2 linked regions of the Drosophila melanogaster genome follow. The protein of the gene in region 2 purifies or fractionates together with the protein of the main gene of each other region. This does not show direct contact. Each region holds a gene or a part of one and is shown on either strand. Other genes may lie near its edges.

Region 1 (6,198 bases), on a different chromosome or scaffold from region 2:
TACAGATCGCGGATTTAAGCTCACCTACAAACTGGCGGATGACTCCAGCCTGCTGCTGTCCAAATACGGTGAATATCTGTACAAGAACGTCATCATATTCGCACCAAGTGTCGAGGAATTCGGCGGCGATGTGAGCGTGGAGCGTTTGGCCCAGTTCGTCGACGATGGCGGCAATGTTCTGGTGGCGGGCAGCGAGAAATCCGGCGACGCGCTAAGGGAATTCGCCTCCGAGTGCGGCTTCGAGCTGGACGAGGAGAATGCGGCGGTCATTGACCATCTGCACTACGATGTTAGCGATGCTGGCGAGCACACAACCATCCTGACCTCCGCCAAGAATCTTATACAGGCCGACACCATTGTGGGCAAGGCCAACAGGCAGGCGGATGCCGCACCGCTGCTCTATCGCGGTACAGGACTGATTGCCGACAAGGAGAACCCGCTGGTACTCAAGCTGCTGACCGCCGAGAGCACCGCCTATAGCTACAATCCCGAGGCAAGTGTCTCCGACTATCCGCATGCCGTTGGCCGAGGCACGCTGCTAATCGCCGCCCTGCAGGCGAGGAACAATGCCCGCGTAGTGTTCTCCGGCTCGCTGCTCTTCTTCTCTGACGAGAGCTTCACAACGGCCGTGCAGTACGCACAGAGCGGTGTGTTCCACAAGCTGGCCGGTAATCGCGACGTGGCCGAGTCCATTAGCAAGTGGGTATTTGGAGAGACTGGCCGCTTGCGCGTGGCATCCGTGCAACATCACAAGGAGGGCGAGCTGCTGCCACCGGATCAGGCGTACACCATCACCGATCCGGTCGTCTACACCATCGGCATCGAGGAGCTGGTGCAGGGCGAGTGGCGCGCCTTTAAGGCCAGCGACATTCAACTGGAGTTCGTGCGCATCGATCCCTTCGTCCGCACCTATCTGAAGCAAACGAACACGGGCGCCTACCAGGCCAAATTCAAGATACCCGACGTCTACGGCGTTTATCAGTTCAAGGTGGACTACAATCGCGTGGGCTACACGCATCTGTACAGCACCACCCAGGTGTCGGTGCGTCCGCTGGAGCACACACAGTACGAGCGCTTTATCCCGAGCGCATTCCCCTACTACACCAGCGCCTTCTCAATGATGATCGGCGTGTTTGTCTTCTCATTCGTGTTCCTTCACTTCAAGGATGAGCCCGTGGGCAGGGCCGCCAAGGAGGACAAGAAGTCGCAGTAGTATGCACGTTCGTTCAACTCAAATGTAACACACAATGCACTAAAATAAAGTTCTCTGCAGAGAGAAACCCACAATCCATAAAAGAACTTGGCTTTTTTTTTGCTTAATGAAGCTTATATTTCATTAAAATTAGCAGAGTCCAACCCATTAAAACATATTCATTTTTAATCTTAGGTTGGAGTTAAAAAAATTTTAAAAAGTTATAAAAATGTAATTAGCAAAGAACAGAACCAAACTATTTGGCGGGCATGGTCTTGTCAGACAATCGAGTGTAATCGAATACAATCGAAGTAGGCCTTCGCCTACTAGGCTACCATCTCTAGATCTCAACGAAACGAAATCATTGTGAAAATTTCTCTCGTCCGAATTTGTTCGTCTCGTGTTGAAAGTGACAAATTGTGAAGAATAACTTTATTCCGTGTTTAACGGTGAGTTTTTTTTTATTGCTAAATACTTATAATACTAAGTGTGGTTCTTAAAACGCACGTGCTTGTGGCCGCTGAATATGTGCGTGTGTGCACTGTTTTCCAAATTTTTTTTTCGTTGTGAATCGCCTGAGTTTATGTTTTGCCGTTTTTGGGGCTCCGCCGGCCGTCCAGCGGAGCCCTATTTTTCACCGCACACACACAGGCGCATTCTCGCTGGTGGATACATACACAAATACACGAAGATGTGAGAGGTCTCGTATTCGCACGACTGTTGGTTGCATTGTTGTTTTAGTTGTAATGGTGAGGTGCGCTGCTTTTTTTTTTTTTCCAAAATGGCCGCCAAGCAGGAGAATAGCAAGAAATAAAAAAGTTGCAGTCGTTGATGAAATTGGCAAAAAGAAAATTAAAAAAATAAATAAAAACGATTTGCCAATGTGCGAAAACTGGCGCCAAAAAGTATGAGTAATCGTATTTATGCTGGTTGGCATAAACATATAAAAGTTATTTATTTATTTCTTAAGTGGCACGCGCGTTGATGTGTGTGTATACTAAACACGCACATTGGTTAACAAATGCAAATGTGCATGGCTGCGCTTGTCATGCGCAGTGTGTGCCATCTCTCTTTCCCACCGCCAGCTTTTCCCGTATGTTATTGCATAATTGCTTTTTATTTTCTTTTTCCTTTGGCATTCTCTTTTGTGAGGATGTGCAGCTGTCACATCTACACGCACACACATGCTGTTTAGCGGAGAAACGACGCAATTAACTGCTGGCACACCTTTCTTCTCTTTCTAACGCGAACGTGCCCCTATAGGCATCTCCCTTCGACTTGCCGCCTTTCAATGCGCGCCAAGTTTTTACCGCTTGATTTTCCTTCCTTTTGTTTATGTTTACTCTTTTGGCGCTACCAGTCGAAGAATTTTTTTCGTTTTCTTTGGCTTCCTTTTATTTGATATTTTCCTCTTGCCTGCACAAGTAATTATAAATTGAAAACTACAACTCATTACTTCAGCGTGATTGATTCCGCATAAAGCGCGAAAAAAACTCAAGAGGCTGTACATAAAAAGAAGGGGAACACAAAAAACGGCGACTCACGATGTTTGCCCGCGAAGAAAAGAAATGAGATTTTCAAGTGGTCCTCCATCGTGGAACAACTACACAGCGAGAAAAGCAGATGTAATATATCTATACCACCAATTGAGAATTAGATGGTATTCCTATTGCTATTTAGAACGGATAAATTAGGGTTTTTTTATGGACCACCTTTATGAATTATCAGAAATGTTTCTTAAGTTTTTTTAATTATAAGTAATGTGAAAACTTTAGAATCATCTTAGCTAAGCTTCATTTGCACACCAATATAAATATGGATCACACTATTATTTTTCTGAGTGTTTTGCTGCCGAGGCACGATTTATTCCTTTGCCACTGAAGTGGAAGTTTCTCGAGTGCCTCGTTCCCAGAAGATGGGAAAATATTTGAAATGGGGGGCAAGAAGGAAAAGCAGGCAGCTGCCTCAAAAAAATTTCACCTTCAACCCTCGTTATCGTTATGACCACGAACCAAAGTTCCTCGTCAGTTGGCCGCCAGCGCTTCGGCGCTGTGCATCGGTCCAAACTTTGGCTCCCAGCGATATCCATCCGTGTATATCCGTCAAGAGTCCACGACACAGCACAATCGTATCCTGGCCAATTGCATCGTGCACTGCGCCTGTGCTGGACGAATAGTTTAGAGTTTGTGCCCAGTTCATCGAGTTGTCTTTCTCATCTGGCGAGGATCAGCGTGTTTATTTTGGGTACCAACCAAACAATGATTGTAGAAGTGTTTATTTAATCTGTGTCAATCTGGAACGCGCAAAATCTAACATTTGCATTTCCCATTCTCTTAATTGCAGTTTAAAAAAAAAAGCTAAGAAAACATGGCTCGTACTAAGCAGACTGCCCGTAAGTCGACCGGAGGAAAGGCTCCTCGTAAGCAGCTAGCCACCAAGGCTGCCCGTAAATCGGCGCCATCCACCGGCGGAGTGAAGAAGCCCCATCGTTATCGTCCCGGAACTGTGGCTCTTCGTGAGATCCGTCGTTACCAGAAGTCGACCGAGTTGCTCATCCGCAAGCTGCCCTTCCAGCGTCTGGTTCGTGAAATCGCTCAGGATTTCAAGACCGATCTGCGTTTCCAGTCGGCTGCCATCGGTGCCTTGCAGGTGAGAATTATGCTCCAAAGAATCAGAGTGGCTTAACTTAACTAAAAATGACAGGATTCATGGGATTATGAAGGGGGGGCTACTAATATCTAAAAGGAACTTGGTTATCCAACTCATATGAATTTCTCTTGACTTACAGGAAGCATCTGAGGCGTACCTGGTGGGTCTCTTCGAGGACACCAACTTGTGCGCTATCCACGCCAAGCGCGTGACAATCATGCCTAAGGACATCCAGTTGGCGCGCCGCATCCGTGGCGAGCGTGCTTAAGGTGGATCAGCAGGAACGCCAGATTCGATCACTGTCGTCCATTCCCGAACAGTAGACCATTCACGTACCGTTGTAGGAGAGGTGCACGCCAAGGAGCTATACCAGCGACACATTGATCCAATCTATCATTCATATTTACATGTATACATTTATCATCCTTTTGTTGTTCAATCGAATCGTCAGCATGACGTTGTCGATAAGAAAAACACCACACACAAAACAACACACAACATTACTGTAATGCTTAAAAATTATTTTATAACTCTTATTATTACTATTATCAATTAGTTTTTAAGTTTTTTTTCTCGCCTGTGCGTCGTCGGTGTCACCGTGTACGTTGCGCCGTGCTCCTTCTTCTCCAAATCCGGGTCCACCTCTTCGTTTTGGAAGGAGGGAATACCACCGGGCGGCCGTTGTCGCCTGTCCGCCTGCAACATCCGCCACCAACCACTCCAACAACTGTCCAGCTGGCGGGCTTCGGTTTCCAGGTAATCCGTGATCTTTAAGGCGCCTGCCTCGCCTTTATCGCTTCGATCGAGGAGAGGTTCACCATCTGGCTGCCGGGATGTGCGGAGCCTGGAGATCGGGGCCAATCTAACGTCGGCTGGACGTGGCAAGGCGGACAGACGGTTGCGGACCGCCTGGCGGTGATTCCCGGATCTCTGGATGGGCGGCGAGGGCATGGCCGTCTGGCGATGCCACTGACGGCACGCGGCTTTTATGAAGATAATATCCATATATAACACCGAAGACCGAATCGAGTACACTTAACTTTACACTTACGTATATGCATATATATACATAAATACATATATATATAAATATATATATATATATAAATATAAATATAAACCTATGCGGAAGGAAAAGAACTAGATATTAATACTCTTTCTTCTGTTCACTTTTCGTTACTGCAAATCATAATCAGAGCATTATATATATATATATATAGAAGTTATATATATATATATACACATAACGAAGGGATGGGCGTGACAGAGTTAGTTGATTAAATAAGATTTTAGATTTACATGCATTTTATACGTTTAGGCGGACGATAGAAGATGATTCTTCTTCGGGAGATGAAAAAAAGATATAAAGATGATTCAGCAATCAGATTAACTTACACATCTATAGATTTGGAAGAGCATCGAATAAAAATAACCAAGACAGAAATCACATAACAATACAAAATAAAAGCAAAAGCGCCGAGCAGAGCATTGAATATTTCCCAATATTTATATGTAGTTTGAAACACATGCAAAATAATCAATTGTAAACGCCCATAAAACATGCATATATATATATATAAATATACATATAGCTGTAAATTGGTGTCGATAACTAGTTTCACATTGAACATTTAAACAAATCGGACTAAATATGTGTCTATTCGTATCGTCGTAGCTTACAAGAACCAATATGAAAACAGAAAACAAAAAACGAATCCCCCACAAAACACAAAAACAATTTACAACAACAAATCAGTGACAGCAACAGCAAAAATAACTGGAAACATCAGCAAAAAAAAAAAAGAAAATAAAAAATAAACGGTTTTTTCTATAGAAGAAACCAAAAAAACCCAACACCAACGAATTGTATTTTCTGCGAAAGCGAGACGGGAATAGTGTGTACGAGCGGGCGGGATAGGTGGCGATGGTACAGTTGACTCCAAAAATCGAAACCAAACGTCATTTGCTTTGTTTACGTGTGTTAATCTCGGTGCGTGCGTGTGTATGTGTGTTACTCTTGCTCGTTTCTGTGTGTGCAAGTTTGGCTGGCTGCAGCTGTATGTGTGTGGGTGGCTTTGGCGCTGCCCCCTTTTTTTTGTTTGTCTTTGATTTGCGTTTTCAAGGCTGCTATTAACTGGCGCCACCTAGCGGTGGTTCTGTGCCACAGGCGCCCAATAAGTGTTAATAAACCCCTTTGTTCGTAAGCTAAGACGCCCAATAGGGGTTAAGGGCTTATCTTTGTAATTAAATGTTGATATTTATAATAATGTACATTGAAGCAATAATTTATTTAATTTAAGTTACCAATGTTTTCCATCTTTTTGTCAGTGTAAATATCGTTATAACTCAAGCATACC
Region 2 (9,172 bases):
AGGTAAGGTATCTCAACAGTTTTGTAGATCCGAATGTGAGGGCATCCATATCCTCCGTGGCGGTGGCATAAACCTTTCCAGCTTTCACCAGAGCGGCACACTGGGCCTCCGCTTCGCACGGTGCATCAACATAGGGCACACCCATTAGTGTGAGCAGTTCCTTGGCCTCTTTGGCGTGCTCCTTCGTTACCCGGACCAATCGGCGATTAAACTTTTCGATACCGGCATCATCTCCCGCATCGGTGGCCGCCTTCAGTGCCTTCTCCGCTTCCTCCCGCCGCTCGGCGCGCTTCGCCAGCTCACCGGACTTGAGATCTGGTGGCTTTCCGTCGAAGACATATACCGGCTTGATTCCGTTGTCCAGCAATCGGATGGTGCGGTAGAACATGCCCATTAAGTGGGACGTGGGATCACCATTTACGGTGGCCAACTGGGCGCCTTCGGAGCGCACGGCGATGAGGAACTGGTACAGGCACATACTAGCATCGATTGCTACCTTGCGACCTTTGAAATGTGAGCATACTATTAAAGTTTTGTTTATATTTAGCAAATAGAACCGGACTCACCGAAAAAATGCTTCATCTCACTTTCGCGAATCGCCTGTGGCGCCAGATCGGCAATGAGCTTAGATAAGCCCAAAATTCCCATGGCGATTTTATTTTAACTTAACACTTGTAATTAATTAAATATATGATTATATTAAGTATAGCCAGGGGTTTATCAAATTGTTTTGTTTGTGAAAACACGCCGCGCGCTTTTTTGCCAACAAGAGTGACCGCCTTTTCAATACATAAATACCAGAACGTCAAAAAATTTTTTATTCGCTAAATTGTTAGTTTTTACATATTTATTTCATTTTCTTTCGAATATTTTTATGAACGTATATAAATATTAACATTTAGATCAGCGTGACTGATGAATTAAAATATGACTACCGGTCTGCAAAATATTCCAAAATTAGATGGTTTTGGTTAACAAATCATTTAAAAAGCAAGTGTCTCCTTCAAATATGTTTTTTATGCATATATATATATAATTTAGTCCGATTCATTAAAAAGCAAAATATTTCAGAAATATATAGGACTGGTTAATACCAGTCATTTTGTTTAAAAAGAAAGTATTTCTTTCGACTATTATAATATACGTATATAAATATTTTTTTATTTAGATCAGTGTTACTAATACATTAGAATAATATTATCGTTAATCAAAATATACCAGAATTAAATAGTTTTCTTTTGAATATTTTTATTGGGGTATATAAATATTGTATTCAGATCAGACTAACATATGAATTATAATATAATTACAGGTAAGCAATGTGGTTAGCTTAGGATAATAGCGATAGAGTTGACTGGACACTATCAAGAAAGAATTTAAATGCATTTTAAAATAAAGAATCATAAAATGGTATTAACAACTGAACATGTATACCAACTTAATTCCCTTGTAAAAAGCCCGCCAAAAGTGAGCAACGAAAAGGGCACCCATTATTTTGCCGGGTATTTTTTAGTGCTTGTCGGCTGCAATACTATCGATTGTGACACCTCTTCTAGTGAGCAGATTGAATGTGTGTCGGCTGACGGAAAAACAGAAAAGCCATTAGAAATATGGTATGTAAAAAGGTGAAAAATGTGGGAAAAAGCGCCGGAAAGTGTGTGCCAGCGAGGTGAAATGAAAACGGCGGGATTGCTAACGTATTTTGTGTGTAAATAGAGCGCAACAAATTATCCGCGAGGCTAACTGCCCGACTATCGGTTCTCTCCCGCCGTTCGGTTGTGTGTATAAACATGGCGTCGTTGTGGCTCGAGATGCCGATGCGAGTGGGTGCGAGCGGGATGACTAGTGTGTGTGTGTGCGCCTCATAGATTTGCAATGTTGTTTTTTCTATCGCCTCTCTCATTTCTTGCTCCCTCTCTCACTCGCTTGCTCGCTCGGCGAAGAAGACACGCATACACAAACTCGCAATCGCCGAAGACCTAACTCACACTCAAATTGCGATTCGATTAAAAAAGAAATAGGCGCACCGAAACCCATCGTATTGGCCGCCAAAAAATTAGCAAGTGTAATCCAATTCTGACTTTGTATCTTTCCATGCCATCGCCGCACGAAAAGGATGCTAACAAAGCGGCAGAAACGGCAGCCAAAGAAAATGCCGCCGATAAGGTAAGCGATGTGGAAAATGCATCGGTTACTGCGGGGGTGGCGAAAGCCGTGGGGGCACAGCCGGAAAGGGGCTCCAAAGATGCAGCCGAATCCCCCGCCGCTGTCGACGCCTCTGCCTCTGCCGCCACTGATGACGTCGCTGATAAAAAAGCCAAAGGAGACTCAACGGCTGTTTCAAATACCGAATCGGATGCAGGTAAATAAAAAATTAAAAGGCAAAGCCAGGCGAACACACAATCTAACTAACTGTGTGTGTGAAGAACGAGAGAGAAAAACAAAAATCAAAGTGAATTTACCGCGCATTTTAAAAAACGCGCCGAACTATTTCGCTCTCTCTTCGGGAAAGTTCTTTTCCTCTCTCGTCCTCTTGTTCGCTTTGGTCTACTTATTGGGAGAGTTCCGATGTGGCGCTGCGGTCTAAAGCGTCGCTCCTTGTGTCTCTCTTGTTTACCGCGCTATGCTGATGTTGGCATGTGGTTCGATCCCCCTCCGTGTCGATGTTTACAAAACCATTATTAGAGTTTGATGATTGAGTTCTCTTAACTTTCCTTCCTCCTTCCTTCCTTGGCTTTTGTTCATGCTAAATCCTTTAAATGGGTTCTGCGTAGTTTAATGCCGAGGTACAGCAAAACTTCAATATTCATGTTCCCTTGCGCTCCCAAACGAAATTAGCATTGGACGTCCCAAGGTTGAAGACATTTTATTATTTTAACATCTTTTTTATTTTATTACATTTGAACTCTTACAAATAATAATAATTACAATTAATATTATAGCTGCAGCGGACAAAAAGGAGAAATCCCCCTCGCCGGTAATAAAGAAGTCCAACAATAAGGATGCTAAAAAGGAGGACAACTCCGAAAAGGACGAGGAGAACTCGGAAGACGGCGATGAGCCAGAAGATGAGGCTGATGAGAAAGCTAGCGATGAAGAGAGCGAGAAGAAGAAACCGAAATTAGATGCAGAGGACAAGATAAAGGATGCCACTGATGAGTCCAAGCCAAAATCGGGAGCCGATAAGCCCAAGAAACCTGAGCCCAAGGCCAAGAATGGCAAGGTGGCTAAGGAGGAGGACGACGACGAAGAGGACGAGGATGATGAGGATGCCGAAGATGACGATGGAGACGAGAACGATGGCCTGGACAAGAACAACGAGGTGGCCGAGGATGATGAGAATGTCGTCGCTCTCGCCGAGATTGATCGCATTAATGAGAATATCAACAAGACTCGTGTAGATGGTCTGCAAACATTGCATGCAGTAAGTTAGCTGAGAAACATTTTTGCCAACAACTTGTCAAAAACTAATTTCACACCTCATTTATAGATCTGCTTTGGCGCCCAAGGCAAGAACAATGTGGTCAAGAAGAACTTGCGATCCTTTGCCGGTTTCGAGTTTGCCAAGGATTCAGCGGAGTACAACAAAAAGCTGGAGGCCATCAAAAAGGTGGATAATAAGGGCCTGCGCAGCATCTGCGAGATCCTTACCCTCGATCGCAAGGGCAGCAAGAACGAGACTGTCCTTCGAGTGCTCAAATTCCTAATGGAACCGGACGAGTCGCTTTGCTTGGAGCAGGGTGATGAGGAGGAGGAGGAAGATGCCGAGGACGAGGATCTGGATGAAGATGAGGAGGACCCGCCCAGTGAAGAGGACAAGAAGCGCAAGAGCGGAAAGTCTAGCGGCGGCGCTGGCAGAGGCTCTGCACGCAATTCCACCGGACGTCCAAGGCGCGCGACGGCAGGAAAGAGTATGCTCATCTAAATCAAAAGTATTGTATATATCTAAACATGTTTACGTTTTAAATTTCAGAAATGTCCGCCTATGTAGATTTCTCCAGCTCTGACGATAGCGAGCAGAAAGTTGCAGTTCCCAAAAGGAGACGAAATGATGACTCCGAGTCGGGCTCAGATGTAAGTATCCTTCGCCCAGAAACCATGCGCACAATTTGGCTCATTTGTCGTTTTGCTTATAGTACAATCCTTCTGCCAATTCCGACTCTGACGGTGGTCGTGGTGGTGGTGCTGGTGCAGCAGGTCGCAAAGTCCCAAGCCGCGGTGGACGCGGTCGTCCTGCGCGCAAAAGTCGCAGAAGAAACTCTGATTCCGAGGAAGAAGAGGAATCGGAAGTTTCCGATGCCGATAGTGATGTATGTATTATAAACGTATGACCAAGTGACCTATATAAAAAAAAATAACTAAATCCCCAGGTCCCAAAACGTAAACGTGGTTCCGTGGGTAAACGTGGACGACCGGCAGCTCCTGCGTCAGCTGGACGAAGGGGTAGAGGACGAGGTGCAGCTTCCCGCAAGCGTAAAGATTCAGATAGCGAAGATGAGGAGGTATCCGAGGATGAAGAGGAGGAGGATGTCTCCGATTTTGCCAGCGATCAAAGCGAAGTATGTAAATTTAATTTAATATCGAGCATTTGGTGTTTTATCAAGTATATGCCAATTTTTCAGGAGGAACGTCCCAAAAAGAGCAAGAAGCCCATTACGCCTGCGAAAAATAGCAAAGCTAACAACAAGTCAAAACCAGCTGGAAAGGGTATGTTAAAAGTAATATGAAAACCGTATGAAATAACAATTAATGTAATCCGCAGCCGATAGTCGATCGAAAAAATCAAAGAAGGAATCGTCCGAGGAAGATGATGATGTCGATGACAAAGATGAATCCGACGAGGATGAGCCACTAACCAAAAAGGGCAAACAGGCATTCCCAACGGTTGGTAGCCAGTAATCGCAATCGTAATGTGTTATCCTCATCGAACGTCTATTTGCAGGATGAACAAATACGCGGATATGTCAAAGAGATTCTGGATAAAGCCAATCTTGAGGAGATTACGATGAAAACCGTGTGCAAACAAGTTTATGCAAAATATCCAGACTTTGACCTAACAGACAAGAAAGACTTCATCAAGGCGACAGTGAAAGCGGTAAGTTACAAGCATATTTATAATTTCTGTTTTACTGAAACTCAATTTATTTCCCAATTCTTAGTTAATTGCGACATAAAACGACGCGTTGACAAGTCCACTTTAAAGTCGAAGAAGGGTCCAGGCTCTGTACACATACAACACAAAACAGGCGATAGCAAAGTCAGGACGTTGTACGCCGATGCAGAAAGAAGTTGGGCATGGTTCGCGAAATGTAACTCCAAGTAGTTGTCTCCTATAAGTATATGATTTGTACTCCTATCCTAAAAGCTATCTGCAGTTCACCTTAATCCTAACGTCAGCGGCAGTCGACTATCCATTCTTATATATATTCATCTGTATATATAACTTTTTATTTGTCCAACCGTGCGCACGCATGCACATCATTTTCTATTTTCCTGAAAGTATGTGCAAACGACAGCTCTGCGAAGTGTGTAAATTAAGCAAAGAGAAACTTGTAAAAATCCGATAAAAAAGAAACACCTAAACTGTAGTGCATTTTGATTTGACGTTTAACAAGAAAAGATGTATTTAACCTTAAGGCACAAGAAATAATAAACAAAAAGCAAAATTAAAAATTTGTAAAAGCGTGAAATATTGAAATTTCACACACTGGCAGCAGTACAAAAACAAACGAAAGTGGAAAACCATTTTAAATTTACACGATTACAAAAAGTTTTTGGCTAATGTAATAAAAGAATGCATTATTTGGGCGAGTAATTTTAAGGCACACTTGAGCGGAGCTCCTGATACAAATGTTTAACTGCTGTTCCCAAAATATATCCTTGAAACCCATTTTGATTTTGATGTCTCTATCGCATCCCAACTCCTGCTGTTCACCACAAATGCTCGGGCCCAGTGTGATTGAAGATAGGAAGGTTTCTCGGCTTATTAACTAGAGACAAGCTCACAACAAATTGTGAGTAAAAAATAAACAAACAGAAGATTGAATGTGGAATGAGGAAGGGAATAAAGTTAAATATTATAAATATTAGATATTTACAAGGTAATAATAGATGTATGTTAATTTTAAAAGAGCAAATGAATAGAAAAAACCGAATATTTAAACGTTTAATTGCCAGCAAGAGAAAAGTAAAAGAACAAAATCACAGTCGCATCTCAATGGAAGTTTTCCCGTAGTAAACTCGTAAATGAATATCAAAAACAACACTAATAAAGCTCCACTAAATTAGTTTAGTCCCAGAAATTGGCAACTAAGCTATATACTCTTGTGCATTCTGTTCTGTTTTAATTTCAAATGTTCGCTGAAAAATGCTAAAAGGAATGCAGTGTATCAGTAATAAAGTGCTAAAAATTAAGAGAAACCTTATCGATTTTCTAAATGGGTTGGAATTTCTATAGTGGATAAAAATCCCAGTGGCGGAACAAATCTCTTTTTTCTAAAAAAAAAAATGTTCTTTTTTAAATAGTCCATATTAATTCTGACTTAATTTGAAGGAAAAAAATGCTTTATTTTGGGTTGTAGCATGGGAAAAGTTTATTTCGAATTTAAAAATGTTCAATTGGGACATTTTCTACAATTGAATTTAACAATTATCTAAACGATTTAAGAAAATAATTAAACTAATTTCTGTCGGGGATTTACCGGGTGGTAATTGAAAGCTGTCGAGTGGACAAAACGCTGAAACATACAGATAGTCAGTTATGATTCAGATATAATATATATATTTATATATTGTCAAAAATGGTTAATATATGTTTATAAAAAAACAATGTAAATATCAATTTCGGGACAAAAATACATATATCAATGAGAAGTGTGGATAATACGGGAGAAGGAATCAACTTTTCTCTGAATTGTTCCTGCAAATAGATCAAAGCACGTAATTTAAATGAAACGAATGGAAATGTATGCAGAAATGTAAATTTCAAAAATATCATTTGATTGCAAAATAAACGGCTTGACATTGGACCCAAAAGAAATGCTCAACGAAATGGGTTATTGAACGTTCTACATTTAATATTTGGTTGGGTCATACTTACCTTGGTCGATATAAGATACGCAGGATGATATCCTTGAAAACCTTTGCTAGAATGAAAAAAGAAAATCGACTTCCCAAAAACATTGAAAATTGGGTTCTTCTCTTTCAAACTGCCATATTATTCGAAAAATTTCCTAATTCTAGACCTGAATCGCTCTTATTATACGAAATATATTCAATATATTAAAGTACACAATATGGAATAGTATAAATTAGAGATTGGCTTGGGAGCCAATGTAAACCGCTTATAGAGCAAGCAAATGATACCTTTAAACGATATTTTACAAATATGTATACAGCACAGAATTTATCAATAGGGAGCACTGTTCGGGAAATCAAATATCGTTCGTTTTGCTAGGCAATTATTGAGAAATACGTATATAAATATATGCATATATATAGTCAATTGTCAAGGAATAGTATGTAGTATAAAGAATATTCAGGATAATCAGTTATGGATATAATATATGTGCAGTTTGATATTAAAATTGTACTCCAATGTGGTTCCAAGCATACCCAATAATGTGGCAATCAATCGACCATCCCTGGGAAAAGTCAAAAGCCCGTCCCGATCCCCAAGATCTCTTCCACGAGCAAGAACGACCAGAACCTCTGAAAATACGCTCAATAAACGATTTTCATATGTGGCATAAACAATCAGCTGGATAAATAAATCAAGAGCGATACAGTCGAGCCCCGACTATCTGATACCCGTTACTATTCATTAAAATTTTGTTTTAGGATTGGTTTAGTAACGGGTATAAATGTAATTAATAGAAACGCAATAGGACACACAGCACCGAAATGCTCCGTGCTGGTAATATATGTATGTGAATATATATTATATGGTATATTAAATGTTTATTCAATGCTTTGCCGGCCGGCCGCAGGACGGAGTTCAGGATTTGGATGGTAGTCCCGAACTGATCCCGCGTGGCCGAACAACGGTTACAATATGGTTGATCTGCTGTTGCAACAATCAGATATTTGGGGAGACGTAAAACTTAGATTATATATCGGTATTAAGACTAAATTATGGTAGACCTACATTCATTGGGTAAGTTTCATTGTTTCAATTGCAATATGTTTAATAGACAGTAATAACAACACACAATCTTACCAAGTTTGACACTTTTACAATATATGTATGGTTCGTATTTCATCGTGTTTTTTTTTGTTTTCGTTATTTGTTATAGTGTGAAAAAGTTTTGGGGTTTGATTTCGTATTTCTGCTATTAACTGGTCTGAAGAGCGTCCTCTGAAAATAACATACTTTATGTTTGCATTTGGTGAAATAGATATTAAAACAAGCATGATTATCCTGCGCGTTCGTTTAAAGGTAAATATTGCAAGCGTATTCAAACCAGGTTTATAATTTAAAAAAATATACAATTATAGAGCAGGAAATAATTTTAAACTCAGTTCAGTTTCACCTTAGTGCTACAAAAATGATTTCATAGATTCTCCAGAACTGAAAGATGAAAATATTGTTATGCAAGATGTTAAATATCAATTAAGGAAGATAACCTTTTGTACCTGGCCCTCACTTGAATCAAATTTAATAAAAAGGTTCGATCAAATCTTTTAAATCTTACCAGATCAGCAGACATATGTATATATGATCAAGTGTAAATGTCGATCATATATAGTTCAAATGGCTTCTAGTACAACTAAGCTAAGCTAAGTACGTGAAAATGAGTTCGTGTATATAAAACGTTCGATTTGTTTATTGCTACCATTAAAGTTGAGAATTTTAACAAAGGGTGTCTTTAATTACTGAACGCCCATTGCAGATTGGCTGCCTGAATTGACGGTGAAAGAACCTATATATGCGATGTATATATATATATATATATATATGACTATATATATGCAGATGTGTATAAAAATGAACAAAACACCCAAAACGGATTCAATTAGCGTCTCTTAGTATGTCTGTGCAAGTGGTGATCATGAACAGCAAGAGCATTATGTTTCAATCGGTCGGAATTATGTATAATTATTAGGTAAAAGTAGACTTAGGATCTCGGGATAATCTCTTACAAGCTATGGTGAAATTATATGCAGTATCCAA

What was found.
Region 1: the proteins of Dek (region 2) and His3.3B purify together in Drosophila melanogaster (affinity purification with western blotting, with the first as the bait; one study listed by BioGRID). This does not show direct contact.

What each region holds. Positions count from the first base shown.
Region 1 is NC_004354.4:9,152,023-9,158,220, reverse strand, and holds His3.3B (histone H3.3B), read left to right. Parts: upstream 1-1,551; 5' UTR 1,552-1,641; intron 1,642-2,607; exon of another isoform or gene 2,608-2,817; intron 2,818-3,208; exon of another isoform or gene 3,209-3,436; intron 3,437-3,535; 5' UTR 3,536-3,559; coding exon 3,560-3,841; intron 3,842-3,980; coding exon 3,981-4,109; 3' UTR 4,110-5,698; downstream 5,699-6,198. Other genes in the region: Ost48 (oligosaccharyltransferase 48kD subunit), read left to right, coding at 6-1,213.
Region 2 is NT_033778.4:16,854,691-16,863,862, forward strand, and holds Dek (Dek), read left to right. Parts: upstream 1-1,951; 5' UTR 1,952-2,094; coding exon 2,095-2,362; intron 2,363-2,722; exon of another isoform or gene 2,723-2,888; intron 2,889-2,942; coding exon 2,943-3,424; intron 3,425-3,490; coding exon 3,491-3,911; intron 3,912-3,973; coding exon 3,974-4,074; intron 4,075-4,136; coding exon 4,137-4,310; intron 4,311-4,370; coding exon 4,371-4,559; intron 4,560-4,622; coding exon 4,623-4,707; intron 4,708-4,762; coding exon 4,763-4,884; coding exon of another isoform or gene 4,885-4,899; intron 4,900-4,942; coding exon 4,943-5,095; intron 5,096-5,159; coding exon 5,160-5,174; 3' UTR 5,175-5,580; downstream 5,581-9,172. Other genes in the region: Fen1 (flap endonuclease 1), read right to left, coding at 1-504, 567-648.